Oryctolagus cuniculus: one gene and its partners. The protein of the gene in region 1 purifies or fractionates together with the protein of each later gene. This does not show direct contact. Links are inferred from orthologs where the notes say so. Each region holds a gene or a part of one and is shown on either strand. Other genes may lie near its edges.

Region 1 (5,084 bases):
ACCGGCAGCTTCATGCTGTCACCTAGCCTGCTGACTGGGGTTTCCTCTCCAGTGCCCAGAAGAAGCACAGAGGGCTTATTTGTGAAGTTTATGATGATATTTATAACCGGTTAAAACCAAACATTTTTATAACCAACCAAGAAGCTTATGTCCAACAAGAAGCTTTGCTATTTTCAAGAACATCCCTTCAGAACCTGGCCATTGAGCTTAACTACATCCAAGTAAGACACGAAGAATGACAACGGACTAGGAAATTCTACACATCCGACAACAGACATAGGAGCTCCATCGTTTCAATGCCACTGCCAAGCAGAGTGTATGACCACCACGTAGGTACCCACACTCATATGCATGCATTTCCAGCCCGCCTCGCACCCTAAAATCTTCACGCGTCATCACTTGGTGGAAGAAATGAAAATCTGGATGCATGCAAGGAAGAAACTTTCAACAAGGTGGCCACTCGGGACAAAGAGGAGTAAGGGCAAAGGCTGGCATCAATAACCCATGCCAACAGCACGGAAGGATGTGAGTGACCATGGGACCTCTCCAGGGTGGAGCTGTGCAGAGAGCCAGCTCTCAATCACTAGTCCCGGGGAAGGGTGAATTTCCAAGAAGATGCAGACAATTTCAGAGCATAAAAAAAAAATCCCTGGGAAGTTTCCTAACAGTTGTCAATCCCACTCCTGCATCATACGGTTTGTCAGGGCAACTTTCCCCTTGAGGAAGATGCTAAACCTTTGTGTAAGGGAGAAGAAACCCAGATTTTGGGGAAGCCACCGACAGCCTGAATTCTTGTGGCCCACTAGAAGGAGGGTGGGTGGGAAGCAGACGGTGCCCGACTGCTGTCAAGGAGCTTTCTGGTGGTCATTCTGGACTGGGATTCTTCTCCTGACTGCTGGGTGGGGTCTGGGAGAAGTCCCTCTCTGGGTGGCATGGTGCTCTCTTCTGTGATAGCCAACATTCCCAGCAGATGGATTGGGCAAAATCACCACGGGACTGCAGACACAAGGAAGGGACAGAAATACGACACACATGTCTCCTTCGAGGCATAGCATGGTCTCTTTCACAATGCCGCTCTTCCATCCATCCATGCATCCACCCATGAACCCAGCCAACAAGGCTGTCTGGTCACCCACTGAAGGCCAACGCCACGGTGAGGCTGGAGCTAAAAGCCAAGAAGGGGAGTAGGCTCTACTCCCCTCTCTGAATTCATACAACCACCTCGGTCTGCAGCCAAGGCAACAGTGTCACAGGCCCTGCACAGGCCCCACAGCCATGCCGGAAGAGTCCTGCCTTGGAAGCCGGGTCTCCCGACACCTGCACCCTCCATGCCCACAGCAGCACACCTGTGGCCACAGGGCCTGGCACTCCTGGATGAACACAGACAGGCAGTAGGGAGAGTTCTAACAAATGAGGGGCTGCCTTGTTTTGCCTTTCTCACTCTCCTGTTGTCTGGATCTTGGGATCATTCAGCACGGATCTAAACCAGTGAGAGCTGTAAACCATATGCAAGACACGTAAAGACAGTATTTCATAACCAGCGTGGCCTCCTTCACGGATTCAGGTGTGCACAGCCTCCAAGTCTGACTCCTTTAAAGAGAAACCTACTGCCCAAGTTTCCAGTTCTGGGGCTTCTCCACATTTAAGATTAAAATATACATTCATCTGATACATTTATAATGCTCTTCCATGCCAAAAAAAATGTAGTAATACCTTTCCCATGTAATTCCTACATCTGTTACCCCAGAGTCTTACTTAAAGATCATCCCTCCCCTCCCGTTATTTTTGGTCACTAGGATCAATGAGATTCTTCTTGAACTCACTGCACTCATTCCTCACTCGAAGTCTTTGGACAAACATTTTTGTCTGCGATACGGATACTTATGAATGATTTACCAACAAATACTTCCACCGTTGAGAGGCACTGCTCCAACAAGTCAAAAATTGTACAAAGAATCTCCAAGACGTCAAAGCAACACGGCTGTCTGTCTGGCTGGCCGCTGAGCAAGCCGGTGTTGCAGGTTTAGGGTCCGGAAGGCTCTCATTAACATGCTTCCCCCCAAAAGCCGCCCGGTGACACCTGAGCAGACCAGCTTTCCAAGGAAGGCTCAGCAGAGGGAACTCCAAACAAAGCCAGCTCCGAAAGAGCTGAGCTCCTTCTTTACTTAATACCACTGCTTTCCTGAGAAGCCAGGTGGCAGGATGTGAGACGACCCAGGCTGTACAGAGAGAGACCGAGTGTGGTGCGGCGGGGACCTGCACGGCGCTCCCGGAGTGCATCCCGCTCCCCACTCCCGAAAGCAAGCCGGCCAGCCACTTCTCCATGCACACTTCTCTTCCATCGCTGCAGCCGAAAAGCGGGACCCCGTGCCGCGAGCCCACCCCGATGCAAAGCCCACTGAGCGCCCGGACGCTGTCCCCGGGGCGGGGGGAGAGCGCTGGCCCCTTGGACAATCCCACCGCCACTGGCTGGTTTTGCAAAATCTAGGAAGCCGCACAGCTTCTGCAAAAGCCTACGTGGCCGAGAACATGCAGTGCCTGATTCCACCCCCTCCACCTCTCCCCTAAAAAAGAGGCAAAGAAACGGGCGAAGCATCAACGACCACCCGAGCAAGGGGCGCCAGGCACCTGCAGCTCAGGTTCTCTGCACTACTGGAAAGCAAGAGCCGGCTGTCACCCCAACATCTGGCGCGGCGACCGCAGCGCCCAACACTCCAAAACTCAGCACGGGTACACAAGAGCCACAGACTCCTCTCCGGGGGACGCTGCAAGAGCCAAGGCCAGGGAGGCGGGCCGACTCGCACCCGCAGCCCCAGAGAGCCCGTGCACAGCGCGCGGGGGTTACCTCTCCGGGCGGCGCGATCCTCTCCCAGAGTCAGTCCCAAGTTCCCCAAAGCGCCGGTCACCGCAGGCGCGCGCCGCAGGTGGCGGTCGGGGCGGGGGTCGGCACGAGGCGGCGTCCCATGGACGCCGGGGCTAGGGCTCGCTCACCGGCCGGGGTGGGGGTGTGTGTGATGTCTTCTGGCGGCCGCGCTCGCCGCTCCGCCCCCGCGCACTCCAAAGTCCTGGCGCTCGGCTGCGAGGGCTGCAGACTGCGCAGTTTCCTTTCTACCCTTTCAGTTGTACCGCGACAGCCGGGGGGATTTCCGCGGGGACTTTCCAGTCACGTGACGCCGCCCGCCTGGCCGAGCCGGCGCCGGCCGCCAGGGGGCAGGGGACGCGGCGCTCGCTGGAGGCCCGCGGCGCGCGCCGCTCCCGCCCCGCCCCGCCCGGACGCTCCGCCCGGACGCTCCGCCCCCGGCGGCCTGGCCCCGCCCCGCCCCGGCGTGGCTCAGAAACTCCTGCGCCCCGCCCCGCGGGGTGTCCCCGCGTGAGTCACCTGGGCATTTCGGAAGCGGGGATGCGACGTCACATCCATGTGGAAATCGCGGTGATGGGAACTGGAAATGAAATCGGTTCTTTTTTTTTTTTCGCAGCCGTTTTTCTGCAGAAAATCATCCACTGTGGAGAAGACGAAGGGAAATAAGAAAGCAAGAAAACCCGAAAAACCACCCGGGCCCCGGGCTGGGTTTGCACAGTTCGGGCTGCGCACGTGATGAGCTGCGAGGGGAGAGTCCTGGCCAGAGCCCGGGCGGGAATTTCAAGAAAAAGAAGCAGGCCCTGCCCTTGACCCCCGAGCCCTCTGGATCGTCCTGGCGGCGCGTTGGAGGCGGGGGTGGGGGGAGCAAGGCCGGTCTTGGGTAAACTGAGTCAGACAAGCCCCTGACCCCGCCCTCGCTAGGCCCCGGCATTCAAAGAGCACTTCCGTTCAGAAATCACCTGCGCCCACGGGCGTTCTCGCCCTGGCTTTATTCGGTGCGCTCCTAGACGTCCTGACAATTACTTACCCCAAGGTCTACGGCCAAGCGTCCTTGCTATTCCTCCCGGCCGCCTCCCGCTATTCCCATGTAACCGCGGCCCTGCAGGTTTCCCTGGCACCCTGCGTCACCTGGAAGTTAGGTGCGCCTCCTGGGCCATTGGAGGTGCCTGGGCCGTGGCAGGTGGGTGAGGGCTGGGGAGTTGGGGTGCCCCCAGTGCCCCTTGGTTCAGTTCCTGCAATGGCTAAACTAGACCCAGAGAGAAAGAGAGCGAGAGTGCATTTCCTTCTGCTGGTCCATTCCTTAAATGCTTTCAATAGCCAGGACTGCGCCAGGCTGAAGCCTGAACCCCTGAACTCAATCCATGCTTCCCGTGTGGGTGGCAGGGTTCCACGCACTTGAGCTACACCTGCTGCCTGTCACAGTGTGCATGAGCAGGAAGCTGGATGGAAAGCAGAGGAGTCAGAACTGGAGCCAGACCCTCGGATGCAGGGTGTGGGCATCCTAGTGTGGCTTAGCCACTGGGTCGCACATCGCCCCTAGTTCTAGTCTTTTCAAACTGATGGCTAGAATTTCTCCCAACTCCACATCTCCTGGGATCATTTAGTCCTCATTCACAAATGTCTTCAGCTACCAACACTCAGCTAAGAGTCGCCAAATGACATGTGTAAAATGACATTTACTGAATATGCACCTGCTACTTTTATATGAAACTGAAGATACTGAGGCCATTTGGACTCTGCGCAAGGGGTTAAGTGGCAGAGTCGCCGCTGGAACTAGGTCCTTCTTAGCCAAGGGCAGACTGGTAAATCCTGACTCGAGACCACTCTCTAGAGTCTCAGGGGCCCTGTCGGTATTCTGGCCCCCAGCTTCACAAACACACCACGCAGGCAAACATGGGCCCTGGGCAGAAAGGGGGCTTGAGGGCAGGAGGGCCTTGAATGCATCCTCAGGAAACCTCCTGGACTTGCTGCAATGATTAAAAAAAATGATAAGTGTAAAACAACATGCTTCACAGAACTTTAGTCCTCAGAGCACTCTCCCCTGGCACTCCCTTGTAAATAGAATGTGCCTGTTCTGTCTTATCTCTGCCTGGCCCCAACCCCTGTCTTCCTTCTGCAGCTTCAATTAACCGCTTTCTGGTTCACATCTTGCTCCCTGGTTTGATGATTTAGGAATGTCATAAGGAATAACAAGCCCGAAAGGCCATGTTCATACCTGCCACTT
Region 2 (5,117 bases), on another chromosome or scaffold:
ATAAAGAACTCTTAGAAAATGTAAAAAGTGTATGTGAACTAAACTACAGATATCTGAAAATACTTGAACTTGTTGAGTTTTGCATTTAAAATGACTGTTTTAATTTTTCCTGAAATGTTTTGAGACATTTGAAATCCCGAAGCCGAGCCTAAACACATCATGCCTGTATCTAAATAAGGTTATTCCTATCACCGGACTTCAGCAACATTAAAACTATCAAGTCTAAGTATATGCTTCAATGATGCAAAATGCCAACCAATAAAAAACACTTTAAAACAAAACTTCCCAGGGGGTAGGTATTTACACTAGTGATTAGGACCTCAGGACCCCGGTGCCCTGGAATCAAGGTGCTTGGGTTCCATACTGGTCTCTGGCTCTTAACTCCAGCTTCCTGCTAATGCAGATCCTGGGAGGCAGCAGGGAGGGCTCAAGTAATTGGGCTCCTGCCACCCACGTGGGAGACCTGGATAGAGTTCCTGGTTCCTGGTTTTGGTCCAGCCCCAGCGGTCCTTTGTGGTCATTTAGGGAGTGGACCAGTAAAAGGGAGCTCACTCACTTTTTCTCCCTTTCTCTGAAGTAAACTTTTAAAAAATTCCTTGAAGTATACAAATGTATACACCATGTGTATGAGTGTATGTACATTTAAAAGTAATTTGAATAATTAAATTTATACATAACTTTTAAAGGGTTAGATATCTAGAATATTCTTATGTAATTAACTCTAACTTGAGCCCTTTATAGCTGTACTGTAAGTTTATTTAACAACTTAGTAAAAACCAAAACTGATGATTCTTAACATCAATGTGAAGAACAAAGTTAAATACAAAATTCTTAAAAACGAATTATCCCACTCAATACTGGTTCCTTCATTATTACCAAACTTCTGTGAAGGAAGCCTTGTAATAAAGAAAGACTAACTGTAACATGGAAGATGATTTTAAAAAAAGTTCATTTACCAACTTTAATCTAGAAAAAAAGAAAATCTGACTATAATACTTGATGACACAGACATGTTTAAGTAGAAAACATAATAAAAAATTGTCACTGAAAATATTGCACAACTTCAGGGGTTTCTTCAAAATTTGCTTTATGTAATTGGGTGGATATAAATTAATGAACAGAAATTTAAGCAAGATACATGTAACAATTTAACAGAACCTGATAATCTAATTTCATTCACTCTTTCTCAAATTCATCTTTAAGTCTTTCCATCATGGGGCTCACAAGAAATTAACTAACATATGGATACTACAGTTGAATGTTCAATCTGCAAAGTACTTATACCATACTGAAGTCCCCTATAATGTAATTATAAAGAACCTTCAAGATACTCATCTTCTGAATGTACAGAACTGTTTGAGTCAAAATTCAACTCAATATAAACTAGCAAGTTCTTCGTTGAGACAGCTTCTCCTTTTGCTAATGAACGATTTTTAGCTAGCTGTAGTATCACTGAGTTGAACAAATAAGTCACCTTTGAGTACATAAGGAAAAACAAACACATGCTAAATGAAACATTACTACTACATCATTACCAGACCATCCCTACCTCTAACACTTCAGAAGCTTAGAGATTTATTCTTACATTAACTGCAAGAAAAAGATAAAGAAGAAATTCCTTCTTTTTTGAGATTACAACCATGAAGTCGGGTGGTTATACAAATTCTGCATTTGTGTGCAAACATGAAACACATTTATCTTGGTTCTCCCTGCTTTGTCTCGTCAGCTAGCTAGCAGGACTTAACAAGTATCTTCCCAAGAACAAAGACTGAGATGTGTTTTATAGAACTTCAATAACCTCAGCACTACAGTGATGAGAGATGCAGTATCCTTTTGCTATGGTTCAAGACAACAGGGAAGGAGGTCACAGGAAAGAGAATAAATCAAAAGTGTTACAGCTGAGAAACTACTTCTCATTTAAGTTTCACCATGGTGCTACACTTATTTTTACATAAGCACTGGTGGCATAATTCAATAAATCAAAACTCTTAATATTTAAAATTTACCTTAACTTTCAATTATCACCATATTAACAACTGAAAGAATTAGATAAAACACATAGGAAATGGTAATATTAAACCCCACTTTGCTAGAATTTATTTCTTGACACCATTAACTCAGTTTTTTTAAATACATATAGAAAAGGGATAGTGCATCTCAGTTTGCTTACAAGCTAGGAGACCACTTTGAATTCTGCATTTCCTAACTGCAAACAGAATATAGCACTTATAACAGGTTATAAATAAACTGGTTTTCAAGCATAGAGCCAGCCCCAACGATAATAATACACTATTTAAAAAGACCTAAGGCAATGAATTCCATTTCCAATGGAAAAAAAGAACTGTGCAAACAAGCTTAAAACTACTTTTTTTTTTTGTGCCAGTGTTATAAAATGTAGCTTTTAATAAAACCTTGACCCAAATGCCAGCAACTTCAGAAAAGAATTTGAGTTGGGTGGGTGGGTGGGGAGAACGTTATTTCATTTAGGAAAAATAACCACTATCTTTTTCCTAATCTTCAACACACACAATTTAAACATATACAGCTGCTGTAACACTTTACACAATTCCTATGTACTGGAGCAATTACAAGATCTAAATACAATTATATTTTTAAACACTGGGTCAAGGCTTTACATAAAAATACCATCCTACTTTCCCCCCTAATTTCTAAAATATCACATACTTTCCCCCAACATCTGCAGCCATCCAGGAATTTCTAGGAAACTTTTGTGCATGATCTTAATTCCTAATTCCTGGCTCTTTGGGCTCAGTGACAAAAGATCAAAACCACCAAAATGATGGTTCACTTGAAGTCAGACGAGAGACCCTGGCTCAATTAGTCTCATAGGATGAAAGCAGTGCTGCATCAACTGGCTCCATGCAGGAGGGGCACGTGAAGGATCTCATCAGCCAGTCATCTATACAGTCCAGGTGGTAGATGTGCATGCACGGCAGGAATCGAATTGGGTCCCCATAAACAAAGTCCATCATACAGATCACACACCTGTTGGGGGCGGGGAGAGAAATCAGAAGGCATTTTTAGAGAAGTGGCCCACTCAGAATTTTCTTCAAAATCCCATTACAAAGACAGTGTTAATCCAAGCAACACATTAGAGTGGCATTTCAGTCATCACCAAAACGGAACTTTTCCTAGTGAGTGCTGATTCACACATATTGTCTTATTCCAACTCCCTGGGAATTTGCAAGACTTAAGAGCAATCAACAGAGAAAAAAAAAAAAAAAAAGTGTCACACTGGGGATCAATCCACTGCTAGCTTATAAAACAGCTCCACATTGGGAGATACCTGAAAGCATCTTTAGGTAGGCAATCATCATTTTATCAACCCTGTTCTTTGTGCTGAGTTTTTAGTGTAATCCCAGACTAATATAATTCTCATTTTAATAATGACATGTAAAAACAGAAGCACTAATTTCAGCCTACTTATTGGGGCTGCTCTACATTAAAGCTCTCTTCATTAACTCGGTTTCTTCAGGCTCAAGAAGCAACCCATTCTGCAGTGTTTCATCAGTGTTTAGACTCTTAAGTGTCAATGCTGTTAAGTATTAGTGCTAAATAGTGCTGTGAACTTCAAACAGTCAAACTACAACAAAGTAAATCACAACGTGTCTATTTTGGTGAGGCCATTTGCAACCTAAAAGAACAGCTGTTCTCATTGGAAACCTCATAGATAATATATGCCCTGGGAACAAAAATTCCACATAAGTAAAATTTCATCTTCAATTTATCAGGCTTAATAAATTTCACAAGTTTAGAAATAGACAGGACTTCTCCTATCACTAAAAACCCTTAAGAAACAAGTTTAATGGTTGCATAACTTACTGAAGAATTCCAATACTACAAATTACTGAAGTCCTAAACATGAATGCAGCTTGCATAATTTTTTTTGCCTAAATAAGACTATCTCCACTGAGTATTTTGTCCATAAAGCTTTTTTTTTTTTTTTTTTTTTTTTTTTTTTAACAGGCAGAGTGGACAGTGAGAGAGAGAGACAGACAGAAAGGTCTTCCTTTGCCGTTGGTTCACCCTCCAATGGCCGCCGCGGCCAGCGCGCTGCGGCCGGTGCACCGCGCTGATCCGATGGCAGGAGCCAGGAGCCAGGTACTTATCCTGGTCTCCCATGGGGTGCAGGGCCCAAGCACTTGGGCCATCCTCCACTGCACTCCCTGGCCACAGCAGAGAGCTGGCCTGGAAGAGGGGCAACCGGGACAGAATCCGGCGCCCCGACCGGGACTAGAACCCGGTGTGCCGGCGCCGCTAGGCGGAGGATTAGCCTAGTGAGCCGCGGCGCCGGCCTTGTCCATAAAGCTTTAGTGAGAGGAGTGAGGTACACCTCTGGAAACACAGCCCTAGGACTCTGTTTTACTGGGTACAGAACCTGTCTCAAACTATGGGAATATCTGTATACTGGGTCTCAGTTCACATTCACATGGTTGAATGACTAATTATCAACTGTAATCCAGTGGATAGGCAGCATGAGTATAAATGGTCAGAACTCATGCCATCATTTTCTAGCTATTTTGATATGAAAATCCTTTTAATTGCTACATTTAAGCATTCTCTTGCATGTCTGACTTCCAAAGTACATGAGGAAAAGTATAAATTTATTAAAAACTTACTCCCGGATCTTTTTCTCTGATCCATCTCTTCCAGGGTCATAAACTCCTTTAGGCAGATGCTGTATAAGGCCTATTCTTTGAGCTATCCTAATTTGTTCCTCTTCAGTCAGCTGAGTTGCTAGCCGAGTCTGGCTGGGTGTTGGATGATAGACTGGAACAGGAACTTGTTCCTAAATTTTTAAAAATGGAGAAAATGATTATTTTTTAAGAAAATTTCTAGAGATCATGCTTTTCCTTTTTAATGGGGGTAGGAGGCTACATATGGCAAGCAGAAGGGGTCCTGGGAGAGATAGCAAGCTGGTCTACTGTGCAGATTGTGTCTTAATATTGACTTCTAGAACAAAAAATACATAAAAAATTCACATTTAGATATGTGACCTACTTTTAAAGGATCTAAAAACAAGCAACACTTAAAAACTTGCATGGAATGTTAATTTAACTAGTTCCACATGAAGAATTTACCCAGATATGCTCATT
Region 3 (4,492 bases), on another chromosome or scaffold:
CGATGCCTCGGACTCAGGCTACGGCACTTTGATCCCAAGCTCCCCCAAGGGACCCCACTCTCCGCTCAACCGCCTGCGCTCCAGGGCCTTCCGACGAGATCCCCGCCTCACCTTCTCCACCCTGGAACTCAGAGATGTTCCCCTGCGGCCCCAGCCGCCTGACCCCAAAGCTGCTCAACGCCGAAGCGCCCCCGAGCTGCCGGAAGACATCCAAACAGGAGTCAGCCATCCGGGGACGGACCCGCGCCCCTGGTCGCAGGAGGAAAATGGGGTCTCGGTGGGCGAGAACGTGGTGGCGGAAACCCTGCACAGGGCCCGGCTTCGTGGCCAGCTCTGCCCCTCCCCTTCCCACACGGACTCGGCCGGGGAAAGCCCCTGGGAGTCCTCTGCCGACGAGGAAGAAGAGGGGCCTCCGTTCTCTGGGCCAGCCCGCAGGCCGTGCGTCCGGCCACTCAGCGCTGAGGACATGCTCCGACAGATCCGGGAGGAACTGGCCACGCAAAGGATCGAGGGAGCTACAGAGCCCGGGGACGGCAAGCCTCGGAAGCTGACCCGCGCCCAGCTGCAGAGGATGCGGGGTCCGCAAGTCATACAGTTGGACACGCCCTTGTCCACTTCGTAAGTGCTGAAGGGGAGCTGGCGGGGGGGGGGCGGGGGGGACAGACGGGGGGCGGGGCCTCTTCCACACCCCTGGACCCTCGCCTACTGGCCACCTCCTTTCTTTTCAGAGAGGTGTGAGCATCGGGGAGGAAGGCTCTCCCGGAGAGTGCTGGTCACCCCTGCCCCCACACTACCTCAAGGACCACACTTCCCGGCACCTGCCTTCTGCTGCGAGGACTCTGGCCATCTGGCCATCAGGAACTGTAGATTTATGTACCACAGACACCCCTGCGCCCCCCCTAAAGTTGTGCATAAAAACGGCTGCGTGGGTGGCATTGCTTGAGCCTGGGAAGATGGGGGTGTGTGTGGGGGGGTGCTGTCACCGCGCGACTGGTGGGCCCTCTGGCCCTGGGTTGGGACTTTCCCCACCCCACCCCTCAGGGTGCAGATGCCCACAGAGACAGACCATCCCCGTGGGAGTGGAGCTTTAATTTCTGGGTTTTAGTGAATTTACAAAAGCCTGCCGCTCCGGCTGGAGGGCTCACTGTTCTGCCCTTGGCCCCTGCCCCAGGACGCGTCCGGGCAAGGGGCAGAGGGGCGCCAGGGTTCTATTAGTGTGACACAACTGATATAAACATGCTTATCTGCTGCGAGAGAGGTCCCCGGACCTACCAGGGGCCGGAGCAGCTCTGCTGGGCCCTCCACGTCCTGTAGTCCACAACCACCCACTCGGGCCCCGGGCACGCTCAGCCTCGGGAGCACTCAAGCGGGCACAGCTGGGCGGTGCTCCGGCAGCTGAGTTTGAAACGCTGTGTGTGTGCACGGAACGGGTAGCACCAAGTAAGTGGCTGCTAGTTCACGCCTGCCCCTCCAGGATCCGCTCCAGAAGAAAAGGCCCAGAGGGCATCTCCCAGGGTAGGCTCCTCCTCCGAGGCGGGGACGGGGACCAGGAGGAGGGACACACAGCGCCTCCGACGGCCTCCAGGCAGCCAGGGGCGTGGCTCCACCGGGTGAGGCGGAGCGAAGGGGGAGGCGGGGCCACGCCTCGCCTCCTCGAAGTCCTCCTGGCAGCCGGGGGCGTGGCTCCATCAGGCAAGGCGGAGCGACAGGAGGGGGAAGCGGGCCATGCCGCGCCTCCTCGACGTCCTCCAGGCAGCCGAGGCGTGGCCTCACAGAGCGGGGCACTCAGCGTCCTTCGGAGAGGGCGTGGCCTCAGGGCGGGGCACGCAGCGCCCCCCAGAGGGGCGTGGCCTCACCGCGGAAGGCGGGCCTCCGACGGCTGGGAGGCGGGGCCGCCCAGCACCGCCTCGATGTCCTCCAGGCAGCCGAGCAGGTCCATGTCGCGGAGCACGCTGCCCAGCAGGTCCAGCGTGGCTTCGTGGCGCGGCGTGCGCTGCCGCCAGGCCGCCAGCATGCTGTACTGGGCCTCGCGCAGGCAGCGCCCGTTCTGCAGCTCCAGCCGCTCTATCTCGTGCTCGCGGAGCCCCAGGCGCCGCACAAACTCCCGCCAGCGAGATGGGGGCACGCCGTCCACCACGGCATACAGCGTCACGGGGTCGGCTGTGGGGACGCGGGGCGTTGAGCCTTCTGCGGCCGCCCTCCACCCGGCCCTGCTGCCTCCCGGAGCCGCGCCCGACCCCGCGAGGAACTCACTGTCGGGGCGCTGCTGCGGGGCCACCGCCGCGGGGGCGCTGCAGTCCTCCCACTTCTGAAGCGGGGTGAGGATGGGTGTGGAGGCCAGGGCCGTGGTGTGGACGGGCTCAGCCTCCCGGTAGGCCAGGGCCACCCCTCTGGAGGGCGGCATAGCCCTGAAGCTGGGCCAGTCCTCACGGGGAAAGGTGGAAGTGGAGTTGGTACAGATGCCCAGGTCGGGGCTGAAGCCGGGGATGGGGCTGAAGCCTGGAGGCGGGCAGACTCCTGGGGCAGGGGCGAGGGGTTTGGCAGGAAGACCTTCAAGCTCCCCCTGAAAGAGAGTGGGCACAGCGTTAGTGGGGGAGGGGAAGGCAGCCTCAGCCCTCATTCTGGTTGGGGGTTGGGGCTGGAGGGAATTAGGGGAGCCCCCGAGTGGGAGCAAGGGTGATCCCAGGTGATCGGGGTGTTACAATGATAAGGAGCAGTCAGGGAAATTTGGGGGGCAGGTCTCTGGTTTCATCTCACCTCTTTGACAGGTGTCGCTTTCCCACAAACTGAGAAAAAAGAAACAGAGTATAAATTTCACTTCCCCTCTTCTCAGGCCTGGCGCCCCGTCCTGGGGTTGGCAGTGGGGACTTGTGGTGACATGCCTCACGGCTTATGTGGCCCCAGGGACAAGAGAACTAGCGACAGAGCGTGACCTCCCCCTAGCCACTCAGGGCCCCCCTCCACCCACAGAGTCCTGGGCAGTGAGATGGGGGACCCTCCTCCTCGCACCCCCCACGCTTGCGTGTCTGAGCCACCCAGCCTCCTCCCACAGGCTCCCCAGCGCCCTGTCCCCTGCCAAGGGCCCCCTCACCAATGGAGTAGAACTTGGGCTTCCACCGCCGCTGGTAGTGGCACATTAAAACAGTGAAGAGCAGGGAGAGCAGGCACAGACCAAAGAAGATCACCAGGGGCAGCAGCACTGTGGCGCCTGCAGAGCGAAGTTCATGGTCAGGGGATGGGTGGGGGGATGGGTGGGTGGGGGAGGGGCAAGGACTGTAGAGGGCAGCTGGGCGAGGGCGCTCCTCCTCACCTGAGTCCTGAGAGCCCTGGACGTTCCCGGTCGGGGGCAGGCACAGTTTCATGCACACTGGGTTCTCCTTACAACTGAAAGAGGAGACGGCGATGGTGAACAGAGGCCCTGCCACTGGAGAACACACACACACAGATACACAGCACGGACACACGCAAAACAGATACACAAAACACACAGAGATACACAAGCAAAACACAGACACAGAGATACACAGCACGGACACACGCAAAACACAGCTACACAAAACACACAGAGATACACAAACAAAACACACACACACACACAACACGGACACACGCAAAACACAGATACACAAAACACACAGAGATACACAAACAAAACACAGACAGAGGTACACAGCACGGACACACGCAAAACACAATACACAAAACAGTCACAGAGATACACAAAACACAGACACAGATACCCCAAACACAGACACACAGAGATACGCACAGATACACACACAAAACACACACATACACAAAATACAGCGATACACAGACACACAGATACACAGCACAGACACAGGCAAAACACAGAGACACAAAACAGACAGATACACAAACAAAAACACGGACACACAGATACACAGCAGACACACACAAAACACATACTCAAAACACACAGACACAGAGATACACAAACAAAACACAGACACACAGGTATACACGCCGATACACAAAACACACACATATACAAAACACTGAGATACACAGACACACAGAGATACACACACAGGACACACCGAATCACATAAATCACACAAACTAAAAACAAAGAGACACACAGACACACATAGAGATTGTATCTTTGCCTCACAAACATCTTTGCTATCTCTTGATATAATGAGGCTTAACCTGTCCTGGGAACTGATGCCAAAGAAACCGTCACAGAAGATGATACATTTTAGAATCGGAAGGGATCGTCAGAGGGGCGGGCACCGAACAGCAAGTTAGGCCTTCACTTGGGACACCGCATCTTGTGTCAGATGCTTGGACTGAGTCCTCGTCTCCACTTCCCATCCAGCTTCCTTTTAAGTGCGCCGGGGAGGCAGTGAAGGTAGCCTACGTGTCTGGGTTCCTGCCACCCACGTGGGAACATGGGAGACCCGGATGGAATTCCTGGCTTTGGCCTGGCCCAGTCCTGGCTGTTGTGGGCATTTAGGGAGCGAACCAG
Region 4 (3,568 bases), on another chromosome or scaffold:
CCTGAGGCTGACCCTGCTCCCAGCATGCACTAGGGGAGCCGGGTGGCCCCCAGCCTGAGGCTGACCCTGCTCCCAGCATGCAGTAGGAAGCAGGGTAGCCCCCAGCCTGAGGCTGACCCTGCTCCCAGCATGCACTAGGGGAGCCGGCTGCCCCCCCAGCCTGAGGCTGACCCTGCTCCCAGCATGCAATAGGGGAGCTGGCTGCCCCTCCATCCTGAGGCTGACCCTGCTCCCAGCATGCACTAGGGGAGCCGGGTGCCCCCCCAGCCTGAGGCTGACCCTGCTCCCAGCATGCACTAGGGGAGCCAGCTGCCCCCCCAGCCTGAGGCTGACCCTGCTCCCAGCATGCAGTAGGGGAGCCGGCTGCCCCCCCAGCCTGAGGCTGACCCTGCTCCCAGGTGCTGAGAGGGTACTCTGCTCACCCAGCAGTCGGGGGCCTGCTGAGCAGGGAGAGCCGAGACCCTGTGGCTAGGGCCTGGCCACGGCGTCTTCCTGCTGGCGGGTTGTGGGGACACGTGTGGGGCAGGCTGTTGGTGGGCCGGGCTGAGGCTGCGTGTCACCCCTGTGCCCAGCACAAGGCTCCTGGTCAGGCCCTTCGCGGGCAGTCGGGTGAGCGTGTACAAGGGCCGGGGCAGGCGGGCAGCTTCACTGACGAGCCCTTCAGGGAGAGACTTGGCCAAGGACCCCACCCCGTCTCCCGTGGAGAGCGAGCGGGGCTGTGTCTCAAGCCCAGAGGAGAGTGCAGGGAGAGGCGTGGTGCTCTCAGCTGAAGTCACCGTGTGGCTCCCTGAGCGGCCGCCCGTGCGGGTGGGGCCTCCGGCGGGCAGCCCCGTGCCCCTCACTTCTCGGCCTGCCGTGGCTGAGTCACCCGGGGCTTCCCGGCGCAGGCCGGCTCAGGACTTGCACTTCCTTCGTCACCGGAGGGGAATTCTCGGCGACAGCGTCCCTGACGGCCAGTCCCCGGCACGCGCGGTGCGCGGAGCTTCCGGGGGTCCAGACGGGTGTTTCCTGAGACTCGGTCTCCCAGCACGAGTTAGATGACCGCAGCGGACCTGAGTGGGAACAGGACAGCGTGGTGGGCTCCAGGAGGCGGCCGGGCCCATAGCTCTGGGGGACGCGGTGGTGATCATGGCCTCAACCCCGGGTCTGGCTCCGCCCCTTGCTGCGTGGGCCACGTGCCGTGACACGGTCTCCTCTGTGCTTTGTGCAGCCCACGTGTCCAGGCACGGACAGCTCCGTTCAGGCCGCCATGGAGAAGTTACGGGAGGAGAACCGACTGTTAAAACAGAAAGTGACTCATGTGAGTGTCTGCGTCTCCTGGAAGAACACGCACCCTGACCGAGTGCGACGAGGGTTCTTCCCCAGCCCGTGCCCAGTCGTTCCCCCACCGGCTGGCCACTGTGGCTTGGTGCACACGGCCCCAGCAGCCCAGCTTCCTGCCCGGGGGATGAGCAGGACGTGTCCTGAAAGGCAGAATTAGAGGGAGAGACAGAGAGAGAGAGAGAGAGCGAGAGCGAGAGCGAGAGCGAGCGCCTCCACTCACTGGTTCACGCCTCAGATGCCCACAGCAACTGAGGCTGAAGCCAGGGGCCTGGGACGCCCTCTGGGTCTCGCCCCTGGGTGCTGGGGCCCGGGCAAGCCGCCACGTCGCTCTGCTTTCCCAGGCCTGTGAGCAGGGGGCTGCTGGAAGTGGAGCAGCCGGGACGCGGACCGGTGCGCGTGGGGTGCTGTGTGGCAGTTGGGCGGGCTGTCCTGCCGCCCACGGTGCCCGTCTGATGGAAAGGAAGTCGAGGAGAGGCAGAGACTCTAAGGCAGGAAGGCGGCAGGGAGTCCACTTCTGTCCGAGAGCGAGGCTGCGGGTGCTGCTGCGGTGGGCTCAGCGTCCACTCCACGCGTGGGGAGAGGTCGGCGAGGTACTGCCGGCGCGCGGCGCCAGGTTCGGCCTTCGGGCTCCGCCGCCTTTGCCGTGAGCTTCCCGGCCGCGCCTCCCCAGGTGGAAGACCTCAACGCCAAGTGGCAGCGCTACGACGCCAGCAGGGACGAGTATGTGCGGGAGCTCCAGGCGCAGCTGCGGGAGCTGAAGGCCCCCCGGGAGCCGGAGCTGCTGAGGAAGGAGGTTTCCCGGCTCAACAGGCAGCTGGAAGAGGAAGTAGACGCGTGTGCGGACGCGAGGCAGCAGCTGGCCGCCGCCAGGACCGCCCAGGACGCTGCCCTGGAGCGGGTGCAGATACTGGAGCAGCAGGTCTGTCCCTGGGCTCTGGGCGGCACCCGCCGTCGTCTGCCTGCAGGTGGCGGCCAGCTCTCAGCACCGGCTGGGTGGTGTCGTGGGGGCGGGGGGGGGGGGAGCCCGGGGAAGCCAGCTCTCAGCACCGGCTGGGCGGTGGTTGTGGGGGCAGTGGGGGGAGCCCGGGGAGGCCAGCTCTCAGCACCGGCTGGGCGGTGTCGTGGGGGCGGGGGGAGCCCGGGGAGGGTCTTCCTTCTCACTGGAGCAGAACGAAGGTCCCGTGTCTCCCCAGATTCTCGCCTACAAGGATGACTTCAGGTCAGAAAGGGCCGACCGGGAGCGGGCTCAGAGCAGGATCCAGGAGCTGGAGGAGCGGCTGGCTTCCCTGCTGTGCCAGGGGTCTCGCCAGGGGTCTCGGAGACAGGTAGGGATGGGCGGCGTTCTTTTCCGCGTCATGGACTGAGCCCTTCCGTACCTTCAAGGCCCCGACCTGGCGGCCCCTTCCCGCCTTCCTGCGCTGTGCCACGTTTAGCTGTGAAGAGGTTGGCAGAGTGGCTGTTCTGGGCCTGCGCCGCCTCCCTGTGTGTCCCTGCCGTGTGACCAGAGAGCAGGATCCCTCCTGGCAGTGCCAGCCGTGCCCCGTCCTTGCTGCGAGACAGGGACCCAGTTACCTCGTCACATGGGGCTGGCACGGGCCTTGACAAGAGCCCTGTAGGGTCCTCAGCTCAGCCTGTGCCCGGCGTTGGTTTAGTGCAGTCCCCACCGTGAGAGGTGCCTGGAGAGGGGCCGGCGTAAGTCAGGACTGGCGAGGTCTCTGGCGGTGTGACCTGTGGTGCCGACCTGCCCGTCCACACTGCAGAAACCCCAGGGGAGGTTCGTTCCTTTGGCCACTTAGCGAGTTTCTGGTACAGCCCCGGCCTGGAGTAAACTTCCTGTGCTCACGTGGACTGGACCGCCTCTGGGAGGCGGCGCACCCGGGGCCGGAGCGCGGACGCGGAGCCCTCCCAGCTGGGTGTGTGGGGCCTCCAGCTCTGGTCTGTCCCGAGCAGCCCCTGGGCCTCATGGGTAGCTTCCGCTTCCCATCCCCCGTGCATGGGCGTAGGAGAGTCACGGTGGACACCCTTGGGCTGAGTCTTCGTCAGGGGCCATTTCTTCTGTGCATGACGGGGGGAGGGGTCGCGGCAGGGCCTGTGTTCCCCCCTGAGTCCACAGGTGACAGGGAGGTGCCAGAGGCTTTGCCGGCCCAGCCCTGGCGGCTTCCTTGGCATCGCTGGATGGAGCCTGGGTATGCGGGTGGCCCCTCACACCCCAGTTCCTGCTTCCCCGAGGCCCTGGGGCTGCCGG
Region 5 (4,572 bases), on another chromosome or scaffold:
TGAAGAGCCGGAATGAGGAGACCAGGGCCAAGGCTGCCAAGGAGCTCCAGCACTACGTCACCATGGAGCTCCGCGAGGTCAGCCTTCAGGGATCTGGCACCCGTCATCGTGGGGTGTTTGGGCCGGACGTGCCATCACTGGTGTATTTCACCTTTTACTTAGCCGGTTTTCATTTGATGTTGAAAGGTGAAGAGATAAATCTGTCCTCTGACTTGCTCCCCATAAGCCTGCGACAGCCAGGGCTGGGCCAGCCCAAAGCCAGGAGCCCAGAACTCTGTCCAGGTCTCCCACGTGGGTGGCAGGGGACCCACGTCCATGAACCACCACCTGCTGCCTCCCACGGTGCACGTTAGCAGGAAGCTGGCTCCAAAGCAGAGGTGCTGGGACTGGAACCAGTCACTTGGATGTGGGCTGTGGGTGTCCCTGTGAATGCCCACCCCAGCATCCCTGGCTTAGACTCCCTTGGACAGCTAAGTGAAGCTTGAAATGTGGATTCTGTTTTAGAAAAGCCCCCAGCTCCTCCCAACCCTAGAACAGGGTCCTCTCCCGGGGTTGCACGCTTCCTTGGCATTTCTTGTGTCTGTGGGCACGATCAGGGATCCACATAAGTTCAGCCTATCAGCTATTTCTGCCTGATAAAAGTGGGTTGGGATGGGTTGGAGAATTGATGGAGACCAGACTTACGGTCAGAGACAGCATCTGGTTCATCCTGTATCCTGACCCAGCAGGCACTCAGGAAGCAGTTACAGATAGAGGTGCATTGCAAGGTCAGTAGCTCTGTGGTTGAGAACTGCAAATGGGCAGAAGCTTGTCTTCCTGGTTTGAGCCACACCTGCTGCCTCTCTCGCCCCAATCCTCTCCGGCACCACCCGTCCCTCCCAACTCCCCCTCTACCCTCGGGGCAAGACACCTTAGAAATCCTTCTGGGCGCATCTTCCTTTCAGATGAGTCAGGAAGAGTCAACGCGGTTCTACGATCAGCTGAACCATCACATATTTGAACTGGTTTCCAGCTCCGATGCCAGTGAGAGGAAAGGGGGCATCTTGGCCATAGGTAAGGACTGAGTCTGGTGCTAGGAACAGCAAACAGGTAGGAATACAGGGCTGGTCACCTTTGTGTCCACCGGGCCCATGTCTGCCACTAGAAGTTCCATTCATGTTTGTGAATTTTCAGGAGCCGTGCGGCTTTCAGTGCCCTTACAGGGGTCCTGATTCTATGAGCAGTCCTAGGATGTAGACCGAGCAGGTGTTTTTAGAAGTGGAAGCTGAGTCCCAGAACCATTAAGCAACTCTTGTGGGGCCAGTGTGTCAGAGCTGGGACCGGAAGCCAGCTTTCTACTACCCCGTGTTGCCTGTGCAGGTGCTGGTTTCTCTGTAGGGCAGGGTTTGGCCTAGCAGGGCTTATGAATGGAGAAGTGAAATTTCGGTGCAGTTCATGAAAGACAGGTCGTCCTTCAGCTCCCAAGGACTGGTCTAGTCCTGTGAATTATGCAGTCCCGGGGGTGTGGGTTTTTCCCCTAATTTCTTGGGGAGACAAAGTATATATACTACAATAGTGCTGTTTTACTTGGTGTAAGTCATTATGACACGGATATCAAATCTTAGGGAAAATGAAAACTGCCCGCACCCTTACGACGTAGCCATGCGCTCAGGGCAGAGCGCGGTGTTGCTCGCCAGCCTTTAGTTGCGGCCTGGCCAGCGCGCTGTGCCTTGTCACCTTCTGCCACCTTCTCTTCCAGCCAGCCTCATCGGCGTGGAAGGTGGGAATGCCACCCGGATCGGCAGGTTTGCCAACTATCTTCGGAATCTCCTCCCCTCCAATGACCCGGTTGTCATGGAGATGGCATCCAAGGCCATTGGCCGCCTTGCCATGGCAGGGGACACTTTCACTGCCGAGTACGTGGAGTTCGAGGTGAAGCGAGCCCTGGAATGGCTGGGTGCTGACCGCAACGAGGGCCGGAGACACGCCGCTGTGAGTGCCCGCGGAACTGGGCGTGGGAACCGTGGCGTTATTTTAGGGTCCCCGGCTTCCTTCCAGGGTTCATCCCCAGAAGAGGCTGTTCTGGTGGGCCAGGATTGGACGCTGTTAGATGGGGTAGTGACTGCACAGGGGAGAGGACCTGGGAGTGGGCAGTGGGGATCAGAGGCCTCACTCAGATGCCTTCTAGTCCTCCCTCTTGAGGGACCGTGCTACAGGAGGGAGCCTGGGACCGGGAGAGGGACACACGTGGGGACCTGGCTCAAGTCTTGGCTTTGTCACCTCCTAACTCCGTAATCTGGCACAACCTCTGACCCTCAGTGTCTTCTTGTCAAATGAAAATCCTAAGATAAAACCTGAAACAAGTGTGCTTACGCAGTGACTGGGCCGGGCTGTCGGGGCAGTGGTACGAGAGCCTAGTGTGTGCCTTCCCGAGGCTCTGTCTTTGTCACAGCCTACGATAACGAACATGGAGGAGTCTGGTCCATTTGCTCTCCTGTTCTGCCCCCAGAATTCCCTGTCTGGAAGAGAGGGCCTGCCTTCCCTTGTCCAAGCAAGTGTGGTCCCGAGGGAGCAGAACTCTGGTGCGAATGGCAGTTCTCAGCTGCCCCCCTCCCCCCCTTTCTCCTAGGTCCTGGTTCTCCGTGAGCTGGCCATCAGCGTCCCCACCTTCTTCTTCCAGCAAGTGCAGCCCTTCTTCGACAACATTTTTGTGGCCGTGTGGGACCCCAAACAGGCCATCCGTGAGGGAGCCGTGGCCGCCCTCCGTGCCTGTCTCATCCTCACCACTCAGCGAGAGCCGAAGGAGATGCAGAAGCCGCAGTGGTACCGGGTGAGAGCCTGCAGTGCACGTTCACGCCGTCAGGCAGCTTCACGACCCTCAGCAGGAGTCGGTGGTTCCTCTGCTGCATTTCGTGAAAGCAGAGGCCCAGTGATAGATGCAGCATCATCTCGTGTGTCGCTAAGAATGAGAACATGCCGGTCAGGCCATGACTCAGTGCCTTCCGCACTCCAAGACATCTGTTCTGAGGTGTAAAAACATGCTTCCTTGCAGACTCGCCGGGAGATGGCTGGTAGGAGTTTAGAAAGGGCGGTGCCTTCTGCTCTGGTGTCCTGAGCTCTGTGCCGTCTGCTGCTGCCGAGGGGCTGTGAGCCTGCTAGTACCGCAGGCGCCCTGCGCGTAGGACGGGAGGCTGGCCTTCCAGGCTTGCCTGTACGTGTGACACTGCGCGGCTCACTCAGGGTCTTTGAGCCTGGGGGCGGGGTTTTTGTTTTGGCAGGTGATAATGATACGTATCTCAGTGGCATGTGAGGGCAGAAGAGCTGAAGCTAAATTAAACAAGCGCACGACCAGTCAGTGTTACGCTGGTCCACGGCGCCGAGCACGTGTGGGAACACCCCGGAACCCCAGCGAGGGCTGGTTGGGCCTGGCTTCTCTCCAGCTCTGGACGCTGGGTGAGCACAGGATTCTGTCCGTTTCTGCAGCACACGTTCGAAGAGGCAGAGAAGGGGTTTGATGAGACCCTGGCCAAGGAGAAGGGGATGAATCGGGATGACCGGATCCACGGAGCCTTGCTGATCCTCAACGAGCTGGTTCGGATCAGCAGCATGGAGGGCGAGGTGAGATGCGGCGGCCGGGCGGGCAGAGCAAGACCCTCGTCCGCACGGAGCGGGCACTTTTAGGAGGAAACAGGTGACAAGCAGGTAGACAGGACAACTTCAGACAGCAACGAGTCCTGGGAAGGAAACACAACAGGAAAGAGGATGGAGGTGAGGGGTGGGGTTGAGTGCAGTGGCTGGGCTCAGGCCCGATCTGGGAGGTCGGGCTCCAGCTGTGATCTTTCCTGTGGGAAATGCAGTGTCAGGGAAGGCCCTCTCTGAAGCAGAGCCATTGGAGTCCAGAGGCCGCAGGACATGCAGGAGCCCCTTGTAGCAGGCCAGGGGCTGCGTTCCAGGCAAAGGCTTTGAGGTGGGAGGAAAAGTTGGTCAAGTTTGAAAAATTGATGAAGCAGAAAGAAGGGGCGTGTGGCTGGTCCCTTACCACAAGAAGGAGAGAAGGTGGGAGGTGTGGTCAGGGAGGAAGGGGCTCGTGGTTCGTGGTCAGCACTGGCTCCTCTTCTAGTTACAGGGGCAGACATTGGCCGTGTGCACACAGGGTGGCGATGTGCGGTGTGACGCCATGCCTTTTCTAAGGTGTGGAGAGGCAGGAGTCAACGCAGGGAGACCAGATAGGAGGTGAATTAGCTTGAGGAGATGGGTATAAAGTACCAGGGTGAGGGTAGAAAGGACAGAGGTTTTATTAGTGAAATAGCCGGTAAGAAAATGGGAGGGGAGGTGGGAGAGCAGGAAGACCACATTCTACCTCTGACCCTAACTGGACAAGAGGTGGGAGAGAAACTGGGTGGAGTCTACTGTGCAAGGCCTCCGTGAGATCCTCAAGCCAGCATCAGCTGTTGAAGGCCTGGTCTCCCAAGAACAGGCCTCCCTTGGCATCCCTACCGTGTCCTGTCATCTGCCAGGAGCAGCCGACGGAAAGCGTGGCCTTGGAACAAACTCGGTGCGGGGTCCCAGCACAGCAGCTGGGCCCTTAGTCAG

The links. Proteins that work in one complex are often made in the same cells at the same time.
Region 2: the proteins of TNFAIP3 (region 1) and RNF11 purify together in Homo sapiens (affinity purification with western blotting; 3 studies listed by BioGRID and IntAct, with this or other methods). This does not show direct contact. The link is inferred for Oryctolagus cuniculus from reciprocal best matches to the Homo sapiens genes TNFAIP3 and RNF11.
Region 3: the proteins of TNFAIP3 (region 1) and TNFRSF1A purify together in Homo sapiens (affinity purification with western blotting; 7 studies listed by BioGRID, with this or other methods). This does not show direct contact. The link is inferred for Oryctolagus cuniculus from reciprocal best matches to the Homo sapiens genes TNFAIP3 and TNFRSF1A.
Region 4: the proteins of TNFAIP3 (region 1) and TNIP2 purify together in Homo sapiens (affinity purification with western blotting; 5 studies listed by BioGRID and IntAct, with this or other methods). This does not show direct contact. The link is inferred for Oryctolagus cuniculus from reciprocal best matches to the Homo sapiens genes TNFAIP3 and TNIP2.
Region 5: the proteins of TNFAIP3 (region 1) and MTOR purify together in Homo sapiens (affinity purification with western blotting, with the first as the bait; 3 studies listed by BioGRID). This does not show direct contact. The link is inferred for Oryctolagus cuniculus from reciprocal best matches to the Homo sapiens genes TNFAIP3 and MTOR.

Annotation. Positions count from the first base shown.
Region 1 is NC_091436.1:30,968,869-30,973,952, forward strand, and holds the start of TNFAIP3 (tumor necrosis factor alpha-induced protein 3), read right to left. Parts: upstream 3,130-5,084; 5' UTR 2,992-3,129; exon of another isoform or gene 2,846-2,991; intron 1-2,845. UniProt on the Homo sapiens protein: Ubiquitin-editing enzyme that contains both ubiquitin ligase and deubiquitinase activities.
Region 2 is NC_091438.1:121,665,991-121,671,107, forward strand, and holds the end of RNF11 (RING finger protein 11), read right to left. Parts: intron 4,811-5,117; coding exon 4,641-4,810; intron 3,007-4,640; coding exon 2,835-3,006; 3' UTR 1,071-2,834; downstream 1-1,070. UniProt on the Homo sapiens protein: Essential component of a ubiquitin-editing protein complex, comprising also TNFAIP3, ITCH and TAX1BP1, that ensures the transient nature of inflammatory signaling pathways. Promotes the association of TNFAIP3 to RIPK1 after TNF stimulation.
Region 3 is NC_091440.1:103,146,549-103,151,040, reverse strand, and holds the end of TNFRSF1A (tumor necrosis factor receptor superfamily member 1A), read right to left. Parts: intron 3,385-4,492; coding exon 3,311-3,384; intron 3,209-3,310; coding exon 3,092-3,208; intron 2,787-3,091; coding exon 2,758-2,786; intron 2,564-2,757; coding exon 2,254-2,563; intron 2,161-2,253; coding exon 1,853-2,160; 3' UTR 1,071-1,852; downstream 1-1,070. Other genes in the region: PLEKHG6 (pleckstrin homology domain-containing family G member 6), read left to right, coding at 1-618, 729-738.
Region 4 is NC_091433.1:1,475,501-1,479,068, reverse strand, and holds part of TNIP2 (TNFAIP3-interacting protein 2), read left to right. Parts: intron 1-1,210; coding exon 1,211-1,300; intron 1,301-1,993; coding exon 1,994-2,242; intron 2,243-2,516; coding exon 2,517-2,648; intron 2,649-3,568. UniProt on the Homo sapiens protein: Inhibits NF-kappa-B activation by blocking the interaction of RIPK1 with its downstream effector NEMO/IKBKG.
Region 5 is NC_091438.1:157,068,078-157,072,649, forward strand, and holds part of MTOR (serine/threonine-protein kinase mTOR), read left to right. Parts: coding exon 1-77; intron 78-944; coding exon 945-1,053; intron 1,054-1,738; coding exon 1,739-1,971; intron 1,972-2,608; coding exon 2,609-2,809; intron 2,810-3,462; coding exon 3,463-3,597; intron 3,598-4,572. UniProt on the Homo sapiens protein: Serine/threonine protein kinase which is a central regulator of cellular metabolism, growth and survival in response to hormones, growth factors, nutrients, energy and stress signals.